Linked DNA regions of Macaca mulatta. The protein of the gene in region 1 purifies or fractionates together with the protein of each later gene. This does not show direct contact. Links are inferred from orthologs where the notes say so. Each region holds a gene or a part of one and is shown on either strand. Other genes may lie near its edges. The genes, in order: SMARCA5, MYO1C, HDAC2, BAZ2A, BAZ1B, BAZ1A and CECR2.

Region 1 (3,500 bases):
ATAATACCCCACAGGCAACCAAAGCAAAAATGGACAAATGGGATCACATTAAGTTAAAAAGCTTCTGCACAGCAAAGGAAACAATCAACAAAGTGAAGAGACATCCCACAGAATGGGAGAAAATATCTGCAAACTACCCATTTGTCAAAGGATTAATAACCAGAATATTTAAGAGCTCAAACAACTCTACTGAAAAAAATCCTAACAGTCCAATTTAAAAATAGGCAAAAGATCTGAACATATGTTTATCAAAGGAAGACATACAAATAGCAAACAAGCATATTAAAAGCTATTCAATATCACTGATCATCAGAGAAATGCAAATCAAAACTACAATAAGGTAACATCTCACCCCAGTTAAAATGGCTTTTATCCAAAAGTCAGGCAATAACAAATGCTGACAAGAATGTGAAGAAAAGGGAACCCTCATATACTGTTGGTGGGAATGCAAATCACTGTGAAAACAATTTGGAGGTTCCTCAAAAAACTACAAATATAGTTACCCTACAATACACTAATCCCAACTCCTAGGTATACACCCCCCAAAAAATCAGTGTATCAAAGAGATATCTGCACTCTCATGTTTACTGCAGCACTATTCACAGTAGCCATGATTTGGAAACAACCTAAGTGTACATCAACAGACAAATGGATAAAGAAAACATGGTATGTATACACAACAGAATACTATTCAACCATAAGCAATGAGACCCTATAATTTGCAACAACATGGATGGAACCAGAGTTTATTATGTTAAGTGAAATAAGCAAGGCACAGAAAGACAAACTTGGCATATTCTCACTTATCTGTGGGAGCTAAAAATTATAATAATTTAAACTCATGGAGACAGAGAGTACAAGGATGGATATCAGAGGCTGAGAAAGGTAGTGGGGTGGGGGAAAGTGGGGCTGGCTAATGGATATAAATAAATACAAAGAATGACTTAAGACCTAGTATTTGATAGCACAACAGGGTGACTACAGCAATAAATAATTTAATTATACATTTTAAAATAACTAAGAGTTAAATTGTAACAGAGGATAAATGCTGGAGATGATAATACCCCATTTACCCTGATGTCCTTATTACTTATTGCATGTCTGTATCAAAATATCTCACGTAACCTATAAATACATATACCTACTCATAACAACTAAAAATAAAAAATTTATGCCACTACTTAAATTTGAAAGTGGAAGAATCTCAAATTATGACTTTGGGTTCCCCCTTAAGGGAAAAAAAAAAAATTAAAGGCAATGGATGGGGTGCACAACAGGGACTAACACATCAATGACAGCCAAGCAGTGTTAAATACTTAGAAAGGAGAAATTTACATTATCCACATATTTACATATTCATGAATACTTACTGAAGGCTTTGGTCCTCGTTTCTTTTTCTCTGCCTTCTCCTTTTCTTCTAGTTCCATGTTTTCTCTTTCAATCAAAGTAATTAAGGTATTACATCTCCTCTGGAGCTCCTAAATTATAAACAAACACAGTACATGTACTTTCCATCTACAAGTTTCATGATTTCAATTTTAAAACAAAGTATGTTTTAATAGGATAGTATAAAACCACTAATATACCCTAATTTAAAAAAAAAGATTTTCATACACAATTCATGCTATGAAGATTAAAAGCAAGATATTTGTAAATAATGTTTTTACTCCATTCTTTAAAGCCAAACTACTGTGTGTTCTTCAAAAATTCTTCCTTCACTTAGGAATTAAAGCAATAAAAATGAACATCTCATAACATATGCAATACTGCTACTTAGTGTTTATGTCTGATAAGTACTGTGCTACTCATATCCAAAACTTAAATAGATTAATAGCGTACGTATGTGAGGGTCAAAAACAAGAACTTTAACAGGTGTGTATAATCTTTCCCTTCAAAGTATCACTAGAATTATGGTGGTCAATCAATCACATGGCACCTTTCCCAATTTTGGAAAACCAGCCATGGAAGTCTACGATGAGTTCTACCTCATCTCTCTCTGGCAAACTGGACATACAGTCTCCAGAAAAGATTTAAAGTATAACCTAGAAGTAGCAGATAACCCTGAAAGAAAGAGAAGTCCATTTGCATGGCTAGCATGGTTAGCAGCTCCCTTTCTTATAGGGCAAAATTATTTTTTTCTTATAGTAAGTGATACTACTACACACACAACTACAGTAAAATAATTTTAAAATACTACTCTATAGAATACACCACACAAGGCTTAGAAATAGTATATAGAGATAGAAAAGTACATTATCATTTTTTGTGCATCTTAACATGGAACATGTTAAGAAGTAACAGAGTTTTAAATTATGGTACTGTACTAGGTAAATTAACATGGCACTGTCTTGTTACAATCACTATAAAATTATTCTTTATTAACTCTATAACTGTTCCCACTTAAGAAATAAGCTTCAGCAACTGGATCTTTTCTCTAATTATATATTTACACAGTGTTTTATCTTCAAAGTAGCTTCATGTATTTAAGTTTAGTACATTTCCCAAACCTGGGTATCACAAAATAGTGATGTCTAGTGAAATAAAAATTTCAGTGGTCAAACACGAAAATACTGCTTACTATCCACTGTCTTACAAAGTGACATTTTACTTTAAACATACAGAGAAATCTTACTATAAACAAAAAGATGTTTAAACTTTGTTTATCCCAGAATATCCCAAACTTAAGACTACAGAACTTATTAGCATTATCCTCATCTGGCAGAAAACAAGTTGAAGCTCAAAGTTCAATGGTGGTGAAATAAGGAAGAAAAGGAGCAATCCATCAAAGCTAAACTTTTCTGTATTCAAATTTTAGGTTATTAGAAATGGGGCTATTTGGTCAGAAATGGTTAGCCAGACATTGGGAATAAAAACAAAACCTAGCATTAAATCAGTACAAAAATAGTGTTTACTACAATAAGCCATCTTAAAATAATCCAGACTCAGCATTCTGGTATGCAGATGCCTGAATGCAAGGACCATTTTTCTTTATAGAAATATGTTCGTTTGAAAAACCAAAAAGTCGTAACACTCAGAAGTTGAAACTGATACTTCCTCCCACTTAGAACTTGAAAAGCTAGTCTTACCATATAGTGACGTTTAAAGATGTAAGACATTAAAGGATGGGATCAATAAACTTGTAAGTTATCCCTGCTATTAGGTTTTATGATACTAACAATATTGTAACAAATGTCTACTTCATAGATTTTTTTAAGGTCACCTTAAAGAATACCAAAGATGACACTTACTCTGAACTTGGCTATAGTACACAAAAAAGCCCTGAGCACTCACCATTGCAGTTCTGGACTTAAGAAACCAGTCAAATCTGAACTGAGGAGAGTTGCGAATACACTGTCGTAATTCATCATAAACATTTTCTTTGTCAAATCCAAGTTTGTGAAGCATACAAATCAGAAAACGATCTTCTTCTTCAGTATAGTTTTTTCCTTTGTTAGTACCGTATGATATTCTCAGCTGATGAAAAGGTGCTTTGTACCGTC
Region 2 (3,500 bases), on another chromosome or scaffold:
CTGAGGGTAATTATCCTTCTTGCCCTTGAAGATCTCACTAGCCACGGCCTTCTGCTGCAGCTAAGGAGACAAGGGGGGTGAGGAGAGTATCACGGTGGGGGGTACTATCTTGGGGGGCAGAGCCAGCCTTAGGACCTGAGACAGCCTCCCTCACCTGCTTGCTGGTCCCCCTCTTGCTCAGCACCAGGAGGTTGAGCCCTGCCCCCCACACTCCCATCAACCCCCCACTTCCTGACCCTCTGCCGCCACCAAACACTCCCCAGCGGTGTCATGAAGGCACTGCCGGGTTTTGAAACTAGCCTTTGGCCGGGCGCGGTGGCTCAAGCCTGTAATCCCAGCACTTTGGGAGGCCGAGACGGGTGGATCACGAAGTCAGGAGATCGAGACCATCCTGGCAAACACAGTGAAACCCCGTCTCTACTAAAACTACAAAAAACTAGCCGGGCGAGGTGGCGGCGCCTGTAGTCCCAGCTACTCGGGAGGCTGAGGCAGGAGAATGGCGTAAACCCGGGAGGCGGAGCTTGCAGTGAGCTGAGATTCGGCCACTGCACTCCAGCCTGGGCGACAGAGCGAGACTCCGTCTCAAAAAAAAAAAAAAAAAAAAAAAAAAAGAAACTAGCCTTTGTAATGTTTCCCCACCCCATCAGGCCCTGGTGGCCCTGAGACTCAGCTCCAGCTTGGGGTCTTCTAAGTAGCAGATCACTAATACTCAAGGTTACTAGAGGTTATCTATGCTGGGTGGGTGTTTTAGAATCATCCAGTACTGAGTTGGCAAAAACACGGCACATCAACCAATGCCTGTAATGAGGGCAAACATCACCAATCCATCCAAGTGAAGATGCAGACTTTTCAACACAGGGTTCTGAGCAGTCTCTACCAATCAAGGGCAGTTGGCCCACAAGGTGAACCCTATTGGCCACCCCAAATGTACTCCAGCGTCCACTTCCTACACAAGGCCCAGCAGGGCCTGGCATCCAACTGAGGTCGCCAGTAGACCGGGGTAAATACAGTAGACCAAAGAAACGACAGCAGACAGGGGTAAATACAGCAGACAGGGGTAAATACAGCAGACAGGGGTAAATACAGCAGACAGGGGTAAATACAGCAGACAGGGGTAAATACGGCAGACAGGGGTAAATACGGCAGACAGGGGTAAATACGGCAGACAGGCGTAAATACGGCAGACAAGCGTAAATACGGCAGACAGGGGTAAATACGGCACACAGAGGTAAATACGGCAGACAGGCGTAAGTACGGCAGACAGGGGTAAATACGGCAGACGGGTAAATACGGTAGGCGGGGTAAATATGGTAAACCGAGGTAAATACGATAGACGGGGTAAATATGATAGACAAGGTAAATACGATAGACGGGGTAAATACGGTAGACGGGGGTAAATACGATAGACGGGGTAAATACGGTAGACGGGGGTAAATACGATAGACGGGGTAAATACGATAGACGAGATAAATACCATAGACGAGGTAAATACGGGGTAAATACGGTAGGCGGAAGTAAATACGGTAGACGAGGGTAAATACGGTAGGCAGGATAAATACGGTAGATCAAAGTAAATACGACAGACGCGGTAAATACGGTAGGCCGAGATAATACGGTAGGCAGAGTAAATACGATAAGCCGAGATAAATAAGGAAGGCAGGGTAAATACGGTAGACCGGGGTAAATACGATAGACGAGGTAGAGTAGACCGGGGTAAATACGGTAGACTGGGGTAAATAGAATAGACCAGGGTAAATACAGTAGGCGGGGTAAATACGGTAGACCAGGGTAAATGCCCCTCTAGGCCAACACTCTCTGAGGAATGCCTGCGGTTCCCTGACTCCACTTCCTCATCCTCACCCAGCACCACTCTCCGTACCTGCTGCTTCCACTCAGGGCTGATGCTCCGGCAGTATTTCCACACCATGTTCTTTATGCACAGCTCCCGCAGAAGCTCTGAGGCCTGAAGGGAAGAGTGAGGTCAGAGCTCCTGGACACCCTGGGCCCTTCCCTCTGAAGACATCGAACATATGTTACCCCAGCCTTTGGATAAGCAAAGCCCCCTCCATCTGGACAATGCTTCCACTCCTGAGTCAAGAGACCTTACTCAGCAGGGCGCGGTGGTTCACACCTATAATCCCAGCACTTCGGGAGGCCGAGGTGGGTGGATCACCCGAGGTCAGGAGTTCAAGACCAGCCAGGCCAACATGGTGAAACCATATCTCTACTAAAAATAAAAAAATTAGCTGGGCGTAGTGGCAGGTGCCTGTAATCCCAGCTACTTGGGAGGCTGAGGCAGGAGAATCACTTGAACCCGGGAGGCAAAGGTTGCAGGGAGCCAAGATCGCGCCACTCCCTGGGTGACAGTGTGAGACTCCATCTCAAAAAAAAAAAAAAAAAAAAAAAAGAGAAACCTTACTTTTCACTGCCCAGCTCTGGTCCGGGCCCTCCGTGAGCCCCTCCCTGACCGATCCTTTGGCCCCAAGAAATCAGACCCTTCTGCTGTGTACTTTGATGGTCCCTAACTTGGCAGGGGGTGCCCACAGACCTCACGCAGGGCAGGTGGGGGTGTGGGCCAGGAGGTGTCCAGGACATTCCGGGGCAGCTGCCGCCGCAGGTTTAGCAAAAAAGAGGTGCGCACGTGGTCCAGGAAGAAGGCGTTCTCGGGGCAACGGGGCGCGTGGCGCAGGATGAAGCCTCGGATGAGCCTGGGGTCGGGGGCCAGACAGGGTTGAGGGCGAGGAGGCTGGTGGTGAACCCCCCACACGCCCTGCTCTGCAGCCCCCACAAGGCACCCTGGTGCTCACCGCCGGATGGTCTGCGCTGCCCACTTCCTCTTGGTTGCCTTCCTCCGGCCCAGCGTTCCACGCCACCACGACTGGATGCAGATGGCTGTCGTGGAGACCACAGATGGCTGACCTCCATCTTCTTACCATGGTGGCCTCCCCTGGCCCCAGACCCCGCCCCTCCTGAAAACCCATGGGCCCACGAACCTGATCGCTTCACCCGGAGGAATTTCTGCCGCCAGTGAAAGCCCCTCCAGGCAGCTTGGATCTTGGTGGCTGCAGTTGGGAAAGAAAGGCAATTGGCCAGAGCGCGGGGAGCCAGCTGGGAGCCTGGTGCCGTCTGCACTCCATGAGTGGCATGAATGGGACAGTGGCCGAAGGAGCCAGCGAGCAGCAGAGTAGTGAAGAAGAATGAATGTGGGGACTGCCCGGAGAAGGGGGGGCAGTGGGTGCGATGGCGGGCGTGAGGCTGGAGCTGGTAGGGAGGGGGTTCCAAGTCAACTAGTGGACTCCCTGGAGGAGGACTCCCTGGAGCTGGGTGTGGGGCTGGGGCTGGTAGGGAGGGGGTTCCAAGTCGACTAGTGGACTCCCTGGAGCTGGGTGTGGGGCTGGAGCTGGTAGGGAGGGGTGGACTCCCTGGAGAAGGAGCCCAAGGGAGTGACTTCCCTGCTTCCCGGAACAGACCCCGTGCGGCAGGAAAGGTGGGCTTCTCTC
Region 3 (3,500 bases), on another chromosome or scaffold:
TAAGCTTATGATCCTGGCTGGGTGTGGTGGCTCACGCCTGTAATCCCAGCACTTTGGGAGGCCGAGGTGAGTGGATTACCTGAGGTCAGGAGTTCGAAACCAGACTGGCCAACATGGCGAAACCCTGTCTCTACTAAAAAAAGTACAAAAAAATTAGCTGGGTGTGGTGGCGTGCACCTGTAATCCTGCTACTCAGGAGGCTGAGATAGGAGAATTGCTTGAACCCCGGAGGTGGGGGTTGCAATGAGCCGAGCTCACGCTATTGCAGCCTGGGCAACAGAGTGAGACTCTGTATCCAAAAAAAAAAAAAAAAATTATGATCTATCTGAGCAGTAAGAAACTAAAATGTATTTCTTATAGTGCTTGTGACTTAAGGATGTACAAAGATATTAATATATAAAACAAGGACCCTTATTCTTGAAGAGGTTACAATTCAAGGGCATAGGGAAAGACTAAGAAAGGGTTATATATGTCTGCCATATCCCCTTCATTCTGTCAATACTGAGGAACTAAATGTGTGATGTTGTGTTATTTATCTGTATATGTTTTTTCCTTGTTGTCTTTAATATCCTTCTGTATTTTGGCTCCCATGAACCTAGTTAATTCTTACAAGCTTTCAAGATCAAGATTAGCCACGGAAATAGGCAACCAGCTGTTACATCTTTTTGGTTTAGTAACTTCCTGACATGCATTTCAAAGTTACAGATATTAATACGTATTTAAGGAGTTTTAAAGAAAGTAAATCATACAGCAATTGAAGTTACTTTTAGAATGTTAACTTACTGTAATATTAAGGGGAAAGGTCTAGAAAATTTAAGCCTGTGTTTTAATTAAATGAGAACTGTTGTGCATAGACAACTATTGAGTTCTTGTTAATAGACCAGAAATATTCCACAGATACTCCTGATAAGATTTGATGATGATCTTTCACAGATAACACTGTAATTACCTTGGATAAAACAATAAATATATTTTAAAGTTGTAAACTTTATATTACACTGTGAAGTGTATGTTTGATGATTGCATCAAGCAAAAAAAGTATTTGTAGGAAATAGTTTTTGTAAGAAAAGGCTTTCATTAATTTGCAGAGTGTGTTGAAATTAATGAAATCCATCTTCCACAGTTAATGTTGGAGAAGATTGTCCAGTGTTTGATGGACTCTTTGAGTTTTGTCAACTCTCAACTGGTGGTTCAGTTGGTAAGTGCTAATACAATCAGATTTAAAAGTTGTTCTAAATTTGGTGTGTATCTTCCAGGTTATTTGTGTAAAGCAGGAGTTTTAATGATTGTGAATTTTGATAACAAAAGGAAATCAGTATGTTTATAGTACAGTACAATTTGCTTTCAAACCTCTGTTTTGTTATTGTGACTTAAATACTTTTGTAACTTACATTTTTCACTTACAGACTTCTTTCATCCCACTTGTCTTCTAGCTATCATTGTTAGTACCACCATCTACATAAACCATTATTTAATCTCAGGGCGCAGCTCTGGGAGAATGTTTTTCTAAGGAGAAACTCCTATTTGTGTCATAGATGATTTTTGTTAAGTTTTATGATTTTAAGCTCTTTCTTATGCATGGCATACACTTGTAGGGTTTTCGTCTCGTTGTACTAATTTTTTATGTTAAATATTTAAAAAGTCTACCTTGTTTCTACTTCTTAGCTGGAGCCGTGAAGTTAAACCGACAACAGACTGATATGGCTGTTAATTGGGCTGGAGGATTACATCATGCTAAGAAATCAGAAGCATCAGGATTCTGTTATGTTAATGATATTGTGCTTGCCATCCTTGAATTACTAAAGTATGTTAATTTATATTGGTACTTTTTTCAGTGATAAAATGTTTTCATTAAAACACAATAAAAGTCTGTGGCTTAAAAAAAATCAGGTAAGCCATAGGTTGAAATAGTTAATGGTGAATTTTCTGGGAATTCATTACAAAACAATGAAGAAATGCAGGAAGTTTGCCCAAATCTTCAATTATTAAGAGTTAGTGTGTGGCCAGGCACTATGGCCGAGGCCTGTAATCCCTACACTTTGGGAGGCTGAGGTGGGTGGATCTCTTGAGCCCAGGAGTTTGAGACCAGGCTGGGCAACATGGCAAAACCCCATCTCTGCCAAGAAAAAAATTAGCCAGATGTGGTGGCATGCATCTGTAGTCCCAACTACCCAGGAGGTTGAGGTGGGAGTATCTGAGCCCAGGAAGTAGAGTCTGCAGGAAGCCATGTTCCTGTCACTACACTCTAGCCTGGGCAACAGTGTGAGATCCTACCTTAAAAAAAGAATTAGAAGTGTATAAAAGGCTGGGTGCCCGTGGCTCACGCCTGTAATCCCAACACTTTGGGAGGCCAAGGTGGGTGGATCATGAGGTCAGGAGTTCAAGACCAGCCTGACCAGCATGGTGAAACCCCATCCTACTAAAAACACAAAAATTAGCCGGGCATGGTGGCACGTGCCTGTAATCCCAGCTACTCAGGAGGCTGACGCAGGAGAGTTGCTTGAACCTGGGAGGCAGAGGTTGCAGTGAGCCAAGATCATATCAGTGTACTCCAGCGTGGGCTACAGAGCAAGACTCTGTCTCAAAAAAAAAAAAAAAAAAAAAAAAAAGAATTAGAAGTGTATGTAAATGTCAAAACTCCCATTAAATATCCTTTTTTAAAAGTAGTTTGGCAGTTTTCATTTTAGTTAGTTTCAACTAATAAAAAATGACAATGACCTTGGAAGTTTATGTTCTAGTATTTTGTAAATTGTAAATTGAAGACAAAAATTTGAAACCAGTATTTAAGGAAATTTGTTTACCTGTTGAGTTAGTCTAACTGCCTAACTTCCATATGTGAATGAGGCTTTGTTCTCTACTGATGGATATAAAATTATCTCTGAGTTGCTGCAGGAGTTATTTTTCCTTAGCTGTGGCTGCAGTTTGAGAGAGAGAGATCTGTAGAGGTACTTATGAATGTGGACATTTGCAATGTTATTTTTTGCCATCAGTTATGACACATCTTAGCAGATTCTACTTTATATTGTACTGAGCTGTTTTTTGCTTGTAGTTATTCCATGCATGCTATCCATAGAGGCTGATTTTTCAGTCACTGAAAATTGATACTGACTCCTCAAATAAACAGTAATTGAGCAGGATCAGTGTAACATCTTGTCAGCTCATCAGGAGCAAAGGAAAATCATTTGCAATCATTTGCCTTGTGTTTTAATTGACTGTTGATGTTGGTTCCAGTGTCTTCAACTCTTTGAGCAAGTTCTTGCCCACTCAGCTAATAGTTTTAAACAACTTTAATTTCTCTGGACACAATTTTTTTGGGTGGTGTAATCAAACATGATTTAATAAATTGACTTGGTGCACAGCTTTCCTTGCTTATCTAACACATGAGCCACTCAGAAACTTTACCTTGATCACAGCCTCATTTCTGTTTTTTAAATTTTGTGAAGAAATTTTGCTATACTATTATACGCTCTTTATATTCTTATGAGAATAGTCTCATGAGT
Region 4 (3,500 bases), on another chromosome or scaffold:
TCGGTTCCCAGCAAAGAACTGGCCGCAATAAATGTTGAATGAATGAACATCCTTCTAGCAAAGACAGACTGCCTAATATAGCTAAATGAACCAATATAAGGCACTGATTTTGACTTTTGGTCTCTCCTGGGATTTCCTAGAACTGAAGATGTGTGGCTACAATGGCTCTGTCCCTTCTGTGGAATCGTTACACCAAGAGGTCTCAGTCCTGGTCCCTGACCCCACAGTGAGTTGTTTAGATGATCCTTCACATCTTCCTGATCAACTGGAAGACACTCCAATCCTCAGTGAAGACTCTTTGGAGCCCTTCAACTCTCTGGCACCAGGTAGGTTTGGAGGCTGGCCCCGTTTAATTTATCCATGCACAGTAGCCAACCTTTACCTGAAAGAGACAGTAAAATGGGAAAAGTATTAGGGAATCCAGGGCATTGGGGCTTCCAGGTAGGCCTAAGGCAGACCACAGTTACATGCCACTGGCCTTGTTGCACTAACTGAACTCTGAGCTGAATTGGTTTATGTCCCAGGTTTTTTCCCAGTATTACTTTTGGCCAAGAGCTCTGGGCTGTAATAATTCACTGGATAGGGACTTATTACCACACAGTTGATCTTTTTGGGTTCTAACAAACTAGGAAGGAAACATTTGTCAGTGAGCAGTTACCTTTTACCCCACTGAAGTACAAGAAAGACATATTTTATGATAAATCCTAGAATTTTGCTAGGTCTCTGGGTAGATAATACCACCAATGCCTTTCCTTCCATTTTCATCTTGTAGAGATGAGGTCTTGCTATGTTGCCCAGGCTGGTCTTGAGCTCCAGGCCTCAGGCAATTCTCCTGCCTTGGCCTCCCCTCAAACTTTTATGATCCCTACAATCTCATGACTACTCTTTCAGGGAGAAGGCTTTAGTTGTTATCTAATTTAATATTAGGAAGAATCTTCACACTGTGGGAACTAGAATTGGATATTTTCTGACCAGTGTTTCTTAAGTCTTGCTTTCTGATTTTTTTTCTCATTATCCTGCTCTGATTTTTCTACCCTTGTGAACAGAGCCAGTGAGTGGAGGACTATATGGTATTGATGACACAGAGCTAATGGGTGCAGAGGACAAGCTGCCTCTTGAGGACAGCCCTGTGATTTCTGCCCTTGATTGCCCTTCCCTCAATAATGCTACTGCCTTCAGTCTCCTGGCAGATGATAGTCAAACATCAGCCTCTATCTTTGCCAGTCCCACCTCTCCACCTGTCCTAGGGGAGTCTGTCCTGCAAGGTAAGTGAGGGTAGGTAGGACAAAGAAAGATGAGAGAATAAGTTTCACAGTTAGGGCCTTAAGAGTGGGAAATCTGACCGGGCGCAGTGGCTCACACTTCTAATCCCGTCACTTTGGGAGGCCGAGGCGGGCGGATCACCTGAGATCAGGAGTTCGAGACCACCTGGCCAACATGGTGAAACCTCGCCTGTACTAAAAATACAAAATTAGCCAGGTGTGGTGGCACGCGCCTGTAATCCCAGCTACTTGGGAGGCTGAAGCAGGAGAATCATTTGGCCCTGGGAGGTGGAGGTTGCAGTGAACTGAGATTATGTCATTGCGCTCCAGCCTAGGCAACAGAGCGAGACTCCATCTCAAAAAAAAAAAAAAAAAAAAAAATGGGAAAGCACTTGCTGGGAGCTGAGGGGCTATGGGATAGTGTATGGTGGGACTGAAAGAGGCACAGACTGCTGTACTCTGACCTGTGCCCTCTGCTTTGAAGAGCTTGTGAGACTTGGAATTTGTAGGGAGAAGGAGGCCAGAGCCTTTACTGGCACCAGGTAAAAGGTGTTTCTTCACACAGTGACATCTGTAGCATCTTTACCCTTTAATCTTCGTGATTGGTTGGGAGAAAAAGCTGCTACTTTTTCCAACCCTAGGGAAGACCCCTTGAAGTAACCCTGTTTAGCTTGGTCCAGGTTTGACTGAGTAGATTCTCTTGTTTTATGTGATGCCTTTTTTTTTTTAAAGCCTATCCTGTCCCTTTGGATTCTAGATAACAGCTTTGACCTGAACAATGGTAGTGACGCTGAACAGGAGGAAATGGAAACTCAGTCTTCAGACTTCCCACCATCCCTGACCCAGCCAGCTCCTGATCAGTCATCCACTATTCAGCTACATCCAGCAACCTCACCAGCAGTCTCGCCAACAACCTCCCCAGCAGTCTCCCTAGTGGTTTCTCCAGCAGCCTCCCCAGAAATCTCTCCAGAAGTTTGTCCCGCAGCTTCTACAGTTGTCTCTCCAGCAGTCTTCTCAGTGGTCTCTCCAGCTTCCTCAGCAGTCCTCCCAGCAGTTTCCTCAGAAGTCCCCTTGACGGCTTCAGTGACATCCCCAAAAGCCTCTCCTGTAACTTCCCCAGCAGCTGCCTTTCCAACAGCCTCCCCAGCAAATAAGGATGCCAGCAGCTTCCTAGAAACCACTGCTGACCTGGAAGAGATCACTGGAGAGGAACTCACTACTTCTAGTAGTGGTGAGTATCCAGATTCTATTCTATCCCTGTCTGGTTCCAAGAAACTTTTCTGTCCCATGTTGCAGTTAGCCTTTCCCTGCTGGTCTATTGTTTAAATATTTTGCTTGAACTCTTAACTTGGGTATCCCTTCCTCCCAAGGTGATGTCATGAGGAGACGTATTGCTACCCCAGAAGAAGTTCGTCTTCCCCTCCAACATGGGTAAATGCTCTAGTTTGCTACATTTATTGACCTTGACAAGTTTAATGCACAACTCTAGAAAGAAGGGAATGCCTCTTTTCCTCTGAGATGGGGGAGGAATGAGCCATACAAGAGTAGATTACAGGACAGTTATCTGCAGTGATAATGTTTCTTGGCATGAGATTCCTAGGTTTTCCGTCTTCTCTCAAGGTCTATCTTCCATCACCTATTCTTTCTTCATCTTGTAGTGACTCAATTTTGCCTAAGGAGCTCCAGCTATTATCTTTTTCAAACCCTAGGGCTTACATCCAAACTAGCTGGCTTGTCCTATTTCTGTAGAGAAGGGATAGTAATGAATGAGGAGCGACTTAGTACTAATGAATTGAGGTGGTTTTGTTGTTTTAATGCTCTTAGGAGAGGTGAGGGCAGGAACAGTACATGACCAAAATGAACAAACTAGCTGACACCAGGGCCTTGTGGAAATAACTGCCTTCCTGGATCTTCCCCACCCCTCCCCTTCAAGGCTACTTGTGGTCACCAAGTCTGAGTACTGCTTAAAATTTTGAGAGAAAGATTAGAGTTAGTCTTAGAATAATATTGCTCAGAACACAGAGTTCCTAACTAAACCCTGGCATATTGAGTCTTTTCATGGAGTCAGCAGCAAATTTACTTTTCTGCTTGCCTCCCTGTCCTTTGTCTTCTGCTTTTATTCCCCTTAGGTCTTTATCCTCTTTACTGGAAATCCAGTAACTGCCCTGAATGGCTCAGGGAGGGGTTTCTGACTGCTTATCTCACTGATTTTGTAAAGGGGGGTGGAGATCTCTGAGC
Region 5 (3,500 bases), on another chromosome or scaffold:
TATACATGAAGATATATTTGATATTTCACAGGAACCATCTGTGTTGTTACAAATTGTTGAGTTTGGCACTGGGTACTGCTTAGGTTTGAAACTAGCAATTGGGCATTTACTGTAGTCAACCTAATATCTCAATTTTTCTTAGGTAAGAAAGCAAACTTAGGTAAAAATGCAAACATGAACACACAACATGGACCAGCAACAGAAGTTGCTGTAGAGACAACCACACCTAAACAAGGACAGAACCTATGGTAATGTGAGCATTCATCTGGTTGCTCTTTCTTTTTCCTTTTAATTGTTAAGGAAGAAAGTATTTAGTATAGTGATGCCAGTGAGTTAATAATGCTCAGGATACTTTGTGTGACTTTGATATTTTGGGTACCAAAACTTCTTGCATTAGCAGACCTGATTTTCGTTAAGAGGATACTTGTTTTTTAAGGGTTGGAATTTTGATTTTTCCCCCCTTGTAATATAACTTTGTGTATTATGTGATATATCTTATATAGCAGTAAAAATGTAGCTTAAATTTGGTTGGGAATAGAAGTATTTAAGATTTTCCTTAACTTTTATTAATTAACAAATTGTGTGCATAGCTGTTAGTTTCCTTTGTGTGCAATTCTGCTTTTAGGCAGTGAGCTAGGTTTTAGAGGATCCATTCTGTGACTTTAACTGTGATCATCTGTGGTTTAATGACGTTTCATTTTTGAATTTTGGGTATAGGTTTACTCTCTGGAGGGAAAGGGACAAGTATGCTAATTAACTTTATAAAATTTCATTTAATATTTTAATAGGAACCATATTGGCTCTGGTGTCCTAGTACAGAGTTAACATTAGTCATCATGAAAATAGTAAATTACTTAATTCTACTTCTAGATAGTAAACTGTGAACACATTTGGAATTCTGTTCTCCCAAGTCCCACTACCAACTCTAGATCCCTTGCTTAGTGTTTGATTTTGAATTTTTTTTTTTTTTTCAGAGTTATCAGGTCTGTTTTGCCCCTACAGGTTTTTATGTGATAGTCAAAAGGAGCTGGATGAATTGTTAAACTGTCTTCACCCTCAGGGAATAAGGGAAAGTCAACTTAAAGAGAGACTAGAGAAGAGGTAAGAGGTTTTCATCTTACTCGTCACATCTTACTTCTCTTTAGCATTGGATATAAATATCTGAGAGTTTTTTTTTTTATTATCCATTAAAGTTACTAAAGTAAAATATTTTAAATGTGTAACCGTTTTGTGTTCATATTACCTGATATTTTCTTGGCACATTATGCTTATTGGAAAAATATGCCTTTGGCCATCTATATGTAGAGTAGCAGGATTATGCACTAAAGAACATGTGCCAGCACCAAGCTGTGAGCCTCATGGTTGTTAGACAGCTTTGCAGGTGCAGGCCCAGATGGGTGGGTGTCCAGAAGTGTTCTGTCAATATTCAGAAGAACCAAAAGGTGGAAACAATGGCAATGACGATCAATTGATGGAATGGATAAATAAAATTTGGTATATATCCAGGCCTTGTGTGGTGGCCCACACCTGTAATCCTGGCATTTTGAGAGGTGAAGATAGGCCAATGTCTCGGCATCCAGGAGTTTTGAGGCCAGCTTGGGCAACATAGAGAAACTCTGTTTCTACAAAAAATACAAAAATTAGCTGGGTGTGGTGGTTTGTGTATGAAGTAGTCTTAGCTACTTGGGAGGCCGAGCTGAGTTGGTCACTTGAACCCAGGAGGCAGAGGTTGCACTGAGCCAAGATCATGCCCTTGTACTCTGGCTTGGCCTGGGTGACAGAGCGAGACGCTATCTCAAACAAAATGAAACAAAAAATGCCCAAAATTTAGAATATTCAAATAATGGAATATTATTTAGCCACAAAAAGAAATGAAGTACTGTTCTGTGCTACAACATGGATGAACCTAGAAAACATGCTAAGTGAAATAAGTCAGACATCAAAGGCCATGTGGTGTATGATTTCATTCAAATGAAACATTTAGAATAGGCAAATCTATTTCAAACAGAAAGTGGATTAGTGGTTGCCAGAGGATAGGGGAAGGGGAGAGTGGGAGTGATGATTGCTAACAGGTAAGAGATTCCTGCTTGGGGTGATGAAAATGTTTTGGAATTACATAGTTGTGGTGGTTCTACAACAAAAACCACTGAAGTACATGCTTCAAGTTGGTGAATTTCATGCCGTATGAATTAAAAAGAACCAAAAACCCTGTTCTGTCTACAAAGTAGCATCAACTCCATCTAAATTTGCGACTGCCATATTTGTTGTAGACATTTCTATCAAAGCCAGGATAAGATTTTGGCTTAATGCCACCTCTTATTTCTGACTCTGCTCAATTTCATGGTTGAGTTTAGGTTTGATGGAAGAGGGAAGGAAAATGTGATTCAGTACATACTCTACACCATTGCCAGACTTTTGCGAGGGAAAATAGGTACATAATGTTGATGTTAGTCCACTGCTTAATGTGTAAATTAATTAAAATTGCATTCAGAATTGTGTTGTCTGAATACAGATGTGTCTAGGCAAATTAAGAAAGACAAAGGAGGGCCGGGCACAGTGGCTCACACCTGTAATCCCAGCACTTTGGAAGGCGGAGGCAGGTGGATCTACAAGGTCAGGAGTTCGAGATCAGCCTGGCCAACATGGCAAAACCCCGTCTCTACTAAAAATACAAAAACTAGCCGGGCGTGGTGACGGGCGCCTAGTAGTCCCAGCTACTAGGGAGACTGAGGCAGGAGAATCACTTGAACATGGGATATGGAGGTTGCAGTGAGCCAAGATCACACTACTGCACTCCAGCCTGGGCGAAGCGACACTCCATCTCAAAAAAAAAAAAAAAGGAAAAAATGTCAGTACACAGAGCCCCAAAGGAATATAGTTCTATGATGTTCCTTCTCTTTGGGCAGCACATTTGATGCTGCGTGTGTTGAATTGAAAGGACCTGTTTTGTTCACTAAATATGAAGATTGATTCCTACCATTAAAAGCTTAGAAGTGGTTGGGTGTGGTGGTGCACACCTGTAATCCCAGCAGTTTTGGAGGCCTAAGGGAGAGGATCACTTGAAATCAGGAGTTTGAGACCAGTCTGCGCAACATAGCAAGCAAGACCCCATCCCTACAAAAAATAAAAAAAATTAGCCAGGTGTGGAGGCACATGCCTTGTAATCCCAGCTGTAGGCTCAGGTCGGAGGACTGCATGAGTGCCGAAGTTTGAAGGTGCAGTGAGCTGTGATGGCACCTTTGCACTCCAGCCTGTGTGACAGAGCAAGACCCTGTCTCAGGAAAAAAAAAAAAAGAAAAAACACCAGGGAGAGGTGAAAGAGATCTAAGTAAGTTTTCTAGAAATAAAATGTTAAGTAATTGAAATTTAAAGAACATCTTCAAAAGGTTTCTTTCTTTCCCTTTTCTCTTGTCCCAAATCTTCTAGGTACCAGGACATTATTCACTCTATTCATCTAGCTCGGAAACCAAATTTGGGTCTAAAATCCTGTGATGGCAACC
Region 6 (3,966 bases), on another chromosome or scaffold:
TTTTTTTTTTTTTTTTTTTTTTTTTTTTTTTTTTTTTTTTTTGAGACGGAGTCTCACTCTGTCGCCCAGGCTGGAGTGCAGTGGCCGGATCTCAGCTCACTGCAAGCTCCGCCTCCCGGGTTTACGTCATTCTCCTGCCTCAGCCTCCCGAGTAGCTGGGACTACAGGCGCCCGCCACCTCGCCCGGCTAGTTTTTTGTATTTTTTAGTAGAGACGGGGTTTCACCGGATTAGCCAGGATGGTCTCGATCTCCTGACCTTGTGATCCGCCCGTCTCGGCCTCCCAAAGTGCTGGGATTACAGGCTTGAGCCACCGCGCCCGGCCTGAATAACCGTTTTTAAAACTAACTTTTAGCTTCATTCTTTCATATTAATTTCAAATAAGCAAATGTTAAGGACAGTATCAAAAAAGACTTTAAAACACATCCAGTGAACGTTCTGAGTCACTTCTAGTTTCGAAAATTGTATTGAATTCCAAGGTCACATGTATTATGTACATTAAAATTGTTTCCCTAAATAAAAATTACTGATATGGGAAAGTTGCTTTAGGGGAATTTTCGCTAGTAAATCCATAATCCTTAAAATTCTAATTGAATTAAACATTGATACTTTGCAAATATTTACAGCATTGTAAATATTACTTTTTAAAGGTGTGTTAGTTTCAAGAATGTTGGGGTCCTACAAGCATGATGACACTTTGTAACACATTTTTTTTTTGGTCTTTTCCTCTGCTCTCTAAACCTTTTAATTGCCATAAGTATTAAATAGAACTGATGTCAAGGTATCTTCTAGTTCAAGACAGATGTTTACTAAACATGCAAAGTATTTTTAGAGATACGGATTCTAATTTGGAAGAAGAAAAATAGCAACAAATTTTCTTATTCATTTCTTTTCTCATTTTTAAAATACAAGTTAAATCGTAATTGGAATCCCTTTTCCCATCGTGTAGTCAAGCGTCGGTGGCAGACTTCAAGGATATACTTTGTTAGCCATGTGTTTATGAACCGCCAGCGCTTTCCCTAGATCTTTTGGCTGATAATCTCAAACATGGAGGATGCTTCTGAATCTTCACGAGGGGTTGCTCCATTAATTAATAATGTAGCTCTCCCAGGCTCTCCGCTGTCTCTTCCTGTATCAGTGACAGGCTGTAAAAGTCATCGAGTAGCCAATAAAAAGGTAGAAGCGAGGAGTGAAAAGCTCCTCCCAACAGCTCTTCCTCCTTCAGAGCCGAAAGTAGATCAGAAACTTCCCAGGAGCTCCGAGAGGCGGGGAAGTGGCGGTGGGACGCAATTCCCCGCGCGGAGTCGGGCAGTGGCAGCGGGAGAAGTGGCGGCCAGGGGCGCGGCGGGGCCGGAGAGAGGCGGTCCCCTGAGAGGACGGGGTCTCCCCTCGTTGCCTTTGTAGTGGAGAAGGTGGACAAGTGGCAGTCGGCGTGCTCGCAGGTGAGGGTCGCTCGGGAGCCGGCCGGGAAGTGGAGGCAAGCCGGGAACAAAGCGGAGCGGCGCTGGGGTCCGCCCGCGGCGAGCGCCCTGGCCGGCCGGCCGGCTGCGCGCCGAGCACGTTGTGAGCCTGGCGGCGGCGGCGGCGGCGGCGGCGGCGGGCGGGGAGCCGGCGCTGGGGGAGGGGGCCGCCGCCGCCGCTCCCGCACTGCCCCCCGCGGCGGGGCGTCCTGCCCCATTGTGAGCCAGCGGCTGGGCGAGGAGGCAGGACGCGCTCGGGGGAAAGGGGCGGCGGCGGCTCCGCTCGCTCGACGCCCGGGCAGCGGCAGGAACGAACTCGGCTCCGGTAGCGGCCGCGGCCCGTCAGTCACACAAAAGGCAGCCGAGCTTCTCCCGGCGCGCGGACCGGCCCACGCTGCCGCCGAGCGCTCCCCACCTTACCGGCTTTCCTTTCCCTCCAATTTTGATAGGGAAGCGGGGCCGGCGCGGGCGGCCGAGGGTCCGGGCGAGCCCGCGGGCGGACGGGAGATGCCGCTGCTACACCGAAAGCCGTTTGTGAGACAGAAGCCGCCCGCGGACCTACGGCCCGACGAGGAAGTTTTCTACTGTAAAGTCACCAACGAGATCTTCCGCCACTACGAGTAAGAGCTGGGCAGGGTGCGGGGCCGCGGGGGGTGTGGGGACTCCCTCCCCAGCGCCCTTTTGTCTCTCTCCTTTTCCTCGCCCTGGGCTTCTGGCGGGGTGACTTGAAAGTGACGGGTGGCCCCGGGCCCGCGGTTCTCTGCCTCCTAGCCTCCACTTGGAGAACGCGCGGGGCCAACTGGCGGCGGCGCGCGTGGGGAACGCGGGTTGGTCGTGGCGGAGGAGGCTGGGGTCCCCGGCCGGCCTCGGGAACCGCTCTTAGCCTCTGCTGTCGCCCTCCCGCCCTCCTGGCCGCGGGGCGGCGGAAACTCCCCGCCTCGCCCCTCCCCGCCGCGGCCACACGCGCACTCCGGGGCCAGTTCCGGGATCCCCTCCCGGCGGCCGAGGGGATCCCCGCTAGGGTCAGCGACGTGGGGCCGCAGTCCATGGGTCGGGGGAGGGAATTCCTGCCCCGGTGGGCAGGAAACGGCTGGGCTGGGCTTCGTTTTCTCAGTCGGGAGTGGGGTCTGACGTTGGAGCTGCCTGGGGTAGGGGAGAGGAGCGGAGTTGAGACTCGTTCTAGAAGGGAAGGAGGGAGCGTCCCTGCGGGCCAGGGGTGGAGGACGCGGGACGCGAGAGCCTCCGCAGGCGGCCTCCCGTCCGGCGCTGCTAGGCCTCGGAGTGCGACGGGAGCCGCGCTCTCTGTCACCGCCTCTTCTTGGTGACTAACTCTCGTCTCCGGGGAACTCAGCGTCTCCGCCCCCGGGAGATCAGTGAGGAAGAAGTCGCGGCTGGGCAAGGGGAAGAGGAAGGGGGAAGAAGCAGGGCCTTAGGCGCCCCTCGTTTTCACTTTCGCGTAGCCGGGAGCGCGGTGGAGGGTGTTGGGGGAGGGGGTTAAGACAAGTTCAACTCCAGACTCAGCCAGGCGCCGCTTTATCCCCCTGCGCATGTGGGCTGCCTGACATGTGCCACTCGCTATTGTTTTGATAAGAACGCGGAGCTGCTGCTGGTGTAGTTTCAGCTCCTACATTTTCAGCCCGTCGCTTAATTTATCCCGAGAGATCTGGTCCTGTGACACGGAGCAAGATGGTGTGTTTTAGCGTCTTGTGTTTAAACAGGATCTCTAAGTGAGAACCTGACTTGATCAATCACTCCAAGAGGGTGATCCTCTCTTTTTCTTATGCTTTATTCTCTCCCCTGAAAAGGAATCCCTTTGTGACTTGGAAACCAAGTGTAATAGCAACCAAGTAACGTTGCGTGTAAGGCACCTTTTCTGAGTGGGGGCTTGACCGAGGGAGGGTTTTGGACAAACTGCACCTAAGAAATCAATAGTGAGGTTAGAAAAGTTCCTTTGAGCATTTATTTTAAGTAAACGTTTTTCTTTAGTTCCACCGAAAGGGTTTCACATTAAACATGTTATATCTAGAGAAGTAAATAGAGTGCTTTTCATCAGACAGTACTTTTAAGTAGGAGTGTACGTCTTGCTCTGCTCCTGTAGAGACTTGTTTTGTTACTCAAATAGAGTTCTCATAACTAGTTAAGTGAACTTGGATTAGGTAATTGGATAAGGATTTTTTTTAAGGATTTTAAAGCTATAGGCCTTGCTAACAATTATGATTAAAAAGAAAATTGAGAGTACCAACAAAATAGTAAATAGGCTTAAATTTCAAATTGTTTTCTCCTTCCATATAAGCAAGGGGCTTTTCTCACCTTAGAGGGTAGGATGAATATGGCTGTTATCCTTTGTGAATTAAACATTCTTAATGCACTTTGGTTCTTGAGCCGAATTATTCTAACCTTGGAGAAATCTGAAATGCTGAAATACAGAAGAATTTTCACATTCCAGAACTATCTATCTTCCACTATTTTTATTTATTTACTTATTTTGAGACAGGTTCTCGCTCTGT
Region 7 (3,929 bases), on another chromosome or scaffold:
TGACTTCAGGAAAATGCGGAGGCATTTGTTGGTAAATGAATTGAACGATACTGCTAGTGAGACAGGAAAACTGACATCCAGTGCAGGTTCTCGAGAGTATATGGGAAGATGGGTGACACTAAATTTTAGATAGTATCGTGGCATTAGAAAGGAATCCTTTACGCAATTTACGAAGAGCACTGAGTCAGAAAACATTTTAGAAGTGAAAGAAATTCAGTTTTTCCTTCAATTGCTTAAATTACGTACAAAATATGTTAATAATTGTTAAGAGCTCCTTTTATCATTTTTCCACTCTACTGTTACTGGGTGGAGCTTTTTAAAAACTTTATTTATTTTATTTTATTTTTTTTGAGATGGAGTCTCACTCTGTTGCCCAGGCTGGAGTGCAATGGCGCGATCTCGGCTCACTGCAGCCTCCACCTCTGGGTTCAAGCTTTTGCCTCAGCCTCCCAAGTAGCTGGAACTACAGGCGCCCGCCACCATGCCTGAATAATTTTTGTATTTTTAGTAGAGACGGGGTTTCACCATGTTGGCCAGGCTGGTCTCGAACTCCCTGAATTCAAGTGATCCACCCTCCTTGGCCTCCCAAAGTGCTGAGATTACAGAGGTGTGAGCCATTGTGCCTGGCTTTAAAAACTTTATTTTTAAGTAATGTCAGACTTACCAGAAACTTAGAAGACTGGGACAGAGAATTTCTGAGCTCCCTACCCACATTCCCCACGTGTTCAGTTTTACACCATGTGCTTTACTGCCATCTCCCTCTTCCTCCTCACCAAGTTTTCTTCATAGTTACTTTTTGTTTTATATTTTATCATAAAAGTTACATGAATTTTGGTGCCATTCTCCTCCATCTCCCAACTGCCTGCCTGCCTGCCCAGCTTACTAGCTAGTCATCTCTAGCTGTGTAATTACTGTTTTTCTACACTGAGAGTAAGTTGAAGACGTGATACCTTTCACTCCTTGACATTTTAGTGTTTTTATGACTTAAAAACATTGTTTTTTCTTTTGAGGTGGGATCTCAACGCTATATTGCCCAGGTTGGCCTTGAACTCCTGGGCTCAAGCAATCCTCCTGACTCAGCCTCTCAAGTAGCTAGGACTACAAGCATGAGCCGCCACGCCCAGCTCGGGGATATTCTCTCTCTCTTTCTCTCTCTCTTTTTTTTTTTTTTTGTAATGGAGTCTCACTTTGTTGCCCAGGCTTGGGTACAGTGGCATGATCTTGTCTCACTGCAACCTCCGCCTCCTGGGACAGAGCCATTCTCCTTCTTCAGCCTCCCAAGTAGCTGGGTCTACAGGCATGCACCACAATGCCCAGCTAATTTTTGTGTTTTTAGTAGAGATGGAGTTTTGCCATGTTGGCCAGGCTGGTCTTGAACTCCTGACCTCAGATGATCCGCTGGCCTCGGCCTCCCAAAATGCTGGGATTACAGGCATGAGCCACCGTGCCTGGCCGGAATATTCTCTTATACATGTAAGTACAATTATTAAAATCAGGAGCTTAATACTGAGTAAGATCTGTAGATAATAGTAAATCACATGTTACCAATTGAGCCCATAATTTGTACATTATTTTTATGAATTTTAAACATATTATTATTTTGGAAATTGTTTCTGGTTCAGGTTTTCAGTCTAGGGTCATGCATTGCATTAGTTGGTGGGTCTCTTTAGTCGCCTCCAAAATAGAGCCGTTCTTCAGTCTTTGTCTTTCTTGAGCTTGACCTTCTTGGAAGAGTGAAAGCCATTTATTTTATTGATGGTCCCTCCACTTGGGCTCGTTGGAATCCTCCCGGGATAACTTGGGTCGTGTTTTTGGCGGGCGTGCTGAGGAGGCCTGTGCCCTTGGTGCGTAGTATCAGCAGTTGCGTCCTGTGGACTGGGCCCTTTACTGGTGGTGGTTACTAACTTTGATCGTCACTTGGTTAGGGCAATGTCTGCTTTCCACTGCAAAGTTACTGTTTTTCCCTTATAATTAACAAGTACGTTGTGGGGAGATACTTTGGAAACATCCTCTTGCTCCTCCAAATTAACCCGTTAGGAATTTTAATCCATGCGTGATACCTTACCTGAATCAGTCATTACATCACAGTTGCCAGATAGTTATTTTCAGATTTCATACTCCTTTTTACAAGTTGGCATTCTGTTTTCATCCATAAGTTTTAAGTGTTTGATTCTAAACCAGGTGCTTTTATTTTATTTTATTTTATTTGTTTATTTTTTTGGAGACAGGTCTTGCTCTGTTGCCCAAAGTAGAGTGCAGTGGCACCATCATGGCTCAGCAGTCTCGACCTCGGCTTCCCAAAGTGCTTGAATGACAGGCATGAGCCACCACTCCTGACCCAAAACCGTTTGTTTTTAGTATCTGATAAGAATATAATTTATAAAAAGTCTTTGATTTTTTTTTAACTTGGAAAATTCATCTAAAGTAGATGAACACTGATAATGTTCAGAAAGTGAAATTACTTTTTAAAGTTTCAGCTTTTTAAAGCTTTTCCTGTTTTACTTTGAAAATTTTCAAATGTACGATGAAGTTCAAAGATAAGTGAACCCCTGCATACCCTTCACTCTAGATGTACCAATTGTTAACATTTTTGCCACATTGGCTGAACCATCTGAAAGTAAGTCTACTGTGTCATGACAGTCTCCCCTTTCCTAGTGACATGTACGTGTACTTCCTATGAATAAGGACTTTCTCTTATGTGACCACAGTGTTATACTCACGTTTAGGAAAATTAACAGTAATTCTGTAATAACATCCGGTAAAGAGTTCACATTGAAATATCCTCAGTTGTCCTCACAGTGTGTTTTATGGATGTGCCACACCTCCATCCTGGTTTACACACTGATTGGTTGTTAGAGGAATTGTTTTTAGGCAGGTTGAAGCCAACCCAGTTATCCTGGTAATAGGGAAACAGGGAAACATTGGTAAAATGATTTAAATTTTAAGCCGCAGGGATACTAGTGAAGTAATTACAACAGAGAGTTGATTGGAGTTACCCTGGCTGCAGTCCAGGCTTTGCCCAAGGTCTGAACCTGTCACTTGGCCCTGCTGAGCCTCAGCTTGTTCATCTGCATCTTGGCCATCTCGTGTTCCACACGGCAGTGGTGAGGTTTGAATGAGCCAGGCATGTGAGGGCCTGGCCCAAGTAGATCTCAGCAACTGGTAATTATTGTTACATTTTCTTTCATTTTAGATTTTGATTATGGTAATAATAGGGAAACTATAACAATCACTTGGGAGAAAGGAATTAACTGACAAATAAATGGAATGATCACATATTATTTTGAAATCAAAGTATAATGAAATGGTAAAAATATACAAATGTAGTGTGCTTATATGGATTAAAGAGATTGTTGAATACAAATGCTTTTATTTGTTTGTTTGAGACGGAGTCTTACACTCTTCCAGGCGGGAGTACAGTGGTACCATCTCAGCTCACTGCAACTTCCGCCTTCCAGGTTCAAGCAATTCCCCTGTCTCAGCTTCCCAAGTAGCTGGGATTACAGGCGTGCGCCACCACACCCAGCTAATTTTTGTATTTTTAGTGGAGACGGAGTTTCACCATGTTGGCCAGGCTGGTCTCAAACTCTCGAAGTCCTGAACTCAGGTGATCCACCTGCTTCGGCCTCCCAAAGTGCTCAGATTACAAGCATGAGCCACTGTGTCTGGCCGAATACAAATGTTTTTTGTTTAAAAAAATAAGCGTGGTTTGGTAGCTCATGCCTGTAATCCTAGCCCTTTGGGAGGCCGTGGTGGGAGGATTGTTTGAGCCTAGGAGTTTGAGACCAGCCTGGGCAACATAATAAGACTGTGTCTTAACAACAACAAAAATTTTTTTAAATGGCCAGGCGCAGTGGCCAGCCTGGCCAACATGGGTTTCCCTGTCTCTACTAAAAATACAAAATTAGCTGGTCATGGTGGTGCATGCC

Evidence for each region.
Region 2: the proteins of SMARCA5 (region 1) and MYO1C purify together in Homo sapiens (affinity purification with western blotting; 3 studies listed by BioGRID, with this or other methods). This does not show direct contact. The link is inferred for Macaca mulatta from reciprocal best matches to the Homo sapiens genes SMARCA5 and MYO1C.
Region 3: the proteins of SMARCA5 (region 1) and HDAC2 fractionate together in Homo sapiens (co-fractionation; 5 studies listed by BioGRID, with this or other methods). This does not show direct contact. The link is inferred for Macaca mulatta from reciprocal best matches to the Homo sapiens genes SMARCA5 and HDAC2.
Region 4: the proteins of SMARCA5 (region 1) and BAZ2A purify together in Homo sapiens (affinity purification with western blotting; 3 studies listed by BioGRID and IntAct, with this or other methods). This does not show direct contact. The link is inferred for Macaca mulatta from reciprocal best matches to the Homo sapiens genes SMARCA5 and BAZ2A.
Region 5: the proteins of SMARCA5 (region 1) and BAZ1B purify together in Homo sapiens (affinity purification with western blotting; 11 studies listed by BioGRID and IntAct, with this or other methods). This does not show direct contact. The link is inferred for Macaca mulatta from reciprocal best matches to the Homo sapiens genes SMARCA5 and BAZ1B.
Region 6: the proteins of SMARCA5 (region 1) and BAZ1A purify together in Homo sapiens (affinity purification with western blotting; 8 studies listed by BioGRID and IntAct, with this or other methods). This does not show direct contact. The link is inferred for Macaca mulatta from reciprocal best matches to the Homo sapiens genes SMARCA5 and BAZ1A.
Region 7: the proteins of SMARCA5 (region 1) and CECR2 purify together in Homo sapiens (affinity purification with mass spectrometry; 3 studies listed by BioGRID and IntAct, with this or other methods). This does not show direct contact. The link is inferred for Macaca mulatta from reciprocal best matches to the Homo sapiens genes SMARCA5 and CECR2.

What each region holds. Positions count from the first base shown.
Region 1 is NC_133410.1:152,366,205-152,369,704, reverse strand, and holds part of SMARCA5 (SWI/SNF-related matrix-associated actin-dependent regulator of chromatin subfamily A member 5), read right to left. Parts: coding exon 3,292-3,500; intron 1,479-3,291; coding exon 1,371-1,478; intron 1-1,370. UniProt on the Homo sapiens protein: ATPase that possesses intrinsic ATP-dependent nucleosome-remodeling activity.
Region 2 is NC_133421.1:3,017,854-3,021,353, forward strand, and holds part of MYO1C (unconventional myosin-Ic), read right to left. Parts: intron 3,063-3,500; coding exon 2,994-3,062; intron 2,893-2,993; coding exon 2,808-2,892; intron 2,709-2,807; coding exon 2,549-2,708; intron 1,964-2,548; coding exon 1,880-1,963; intron 61-1,879; coding exon 1-60.
Region 3 is NC_133409.1:19,023,492-19,026,991, reverse strand, and holds part of HDAC2 (histone deacetylase 2), read left to right. Parts: intron 1-1,123; coding exon 1,124-1,198; intron 1,199-1,665; coding exon 1,666-1,804; intron 1,805-3,500. UniProt on the Homo sapiens protein: Histone deacetylase that catalyzes the deacetylation of lysine residues on the N-terminal part of the core histones (H2A, H2B, H3 and H4).
Region 4 is NC_133416.1:63,788,616-63,792,115, reverse strand, and holds part of BAZ2A (bromodomain adjacent to zinc finger domain protein 2A), read left to right. Parts: exon of another isoform or gene 1-140; coding exon 141-326; coding exon of another isoform or gene 327-382; intron 383-1,046; coding exon 1,047-1,265; intron 1,266-2,019; coding exon 2,020-2,493; intron 2,494-2,632; coding exon 2,633-2,693; intron 2,694-3,500. Other genes in the region: RBMS2 (RNA-binding motif, single-stranded-interacting protein 2), read right to left, coding at 309-382. UniProt on the Homo sapiens protein: Regulatory subunit of the ATP-dependent NoRC-1 and NoRC-5 ISWI chromatin remodeling complexes, which form ordered nucleosome arrays on chromatin and facilitate access to DNA during DNA-templated processes such as DNA replication, transcription, and repair.
Region 5 is NC_133408.1:50,944,694-50,948,193, reverse strand, and holds part of BAZ1B (tyrosine-protein kinase BAZ1B), read left to right. Parts: intron 1-142; coding exon 143-248; intron 249-1,002; coding exon 1,003-1,101; intron 1,102-3,426; coding exon 3,427-3,500. UniProt on the Homo sapiens protein: Atypical tyrosine-protein kinase that plays a central role in chromatin remodeling and acts as a transcription regulator. Involved in DNA damage response by phosphorylating 'Tyr-142' of histone H2AX (H2AXY142ph).
Region 6 is NC_133412.1:107,997,650-108,001,615, reverse strand, and holds the start of BAZ1A (bromodomain adjacent to zinc finger domain protein 1A), read left to right. Parts: upstream 1-1,166; 5' UTR 1,167-1,441; intron 1,442-1,908; 5' UTR 1,909-1,966; coding exon 1,967-2,079; intron 2,080-3,966. UniProt on the Homo sapiens protein: Regulatory subunit of the ATP-dependent ACF-1 and ACF-5 ISWI chromatin remodeling complexes, which form ordered nucleosome arrays on chromatin and slide edge- and center-positioned histone octamers away from their original location on the DNA template to facilitate access to DNA during DNA-templated processes such as DNA replication, transcription, and repair.
Region 7 is NC_133415.1:34,695,431-34,699,359, reverse strand, and holds the start of CECR2 (chromatin remodeling regulator CECR2), read left to right. Parts: upstream 1-1,129; 5' UTR 1,130-1,215; coding exon 1,216-1,473; intron 1,474-3,929. UniProt on the Homo sapiens protein: Regulatory subunit of the ATP-dependent CERF-1 and CERF-5 ISWI chromatin remodeling complexes, which form ordered nucleosome arrays on chromatin and facilitate access to DNA during DNA-templated processes such as DNA replication, transcription, and repair.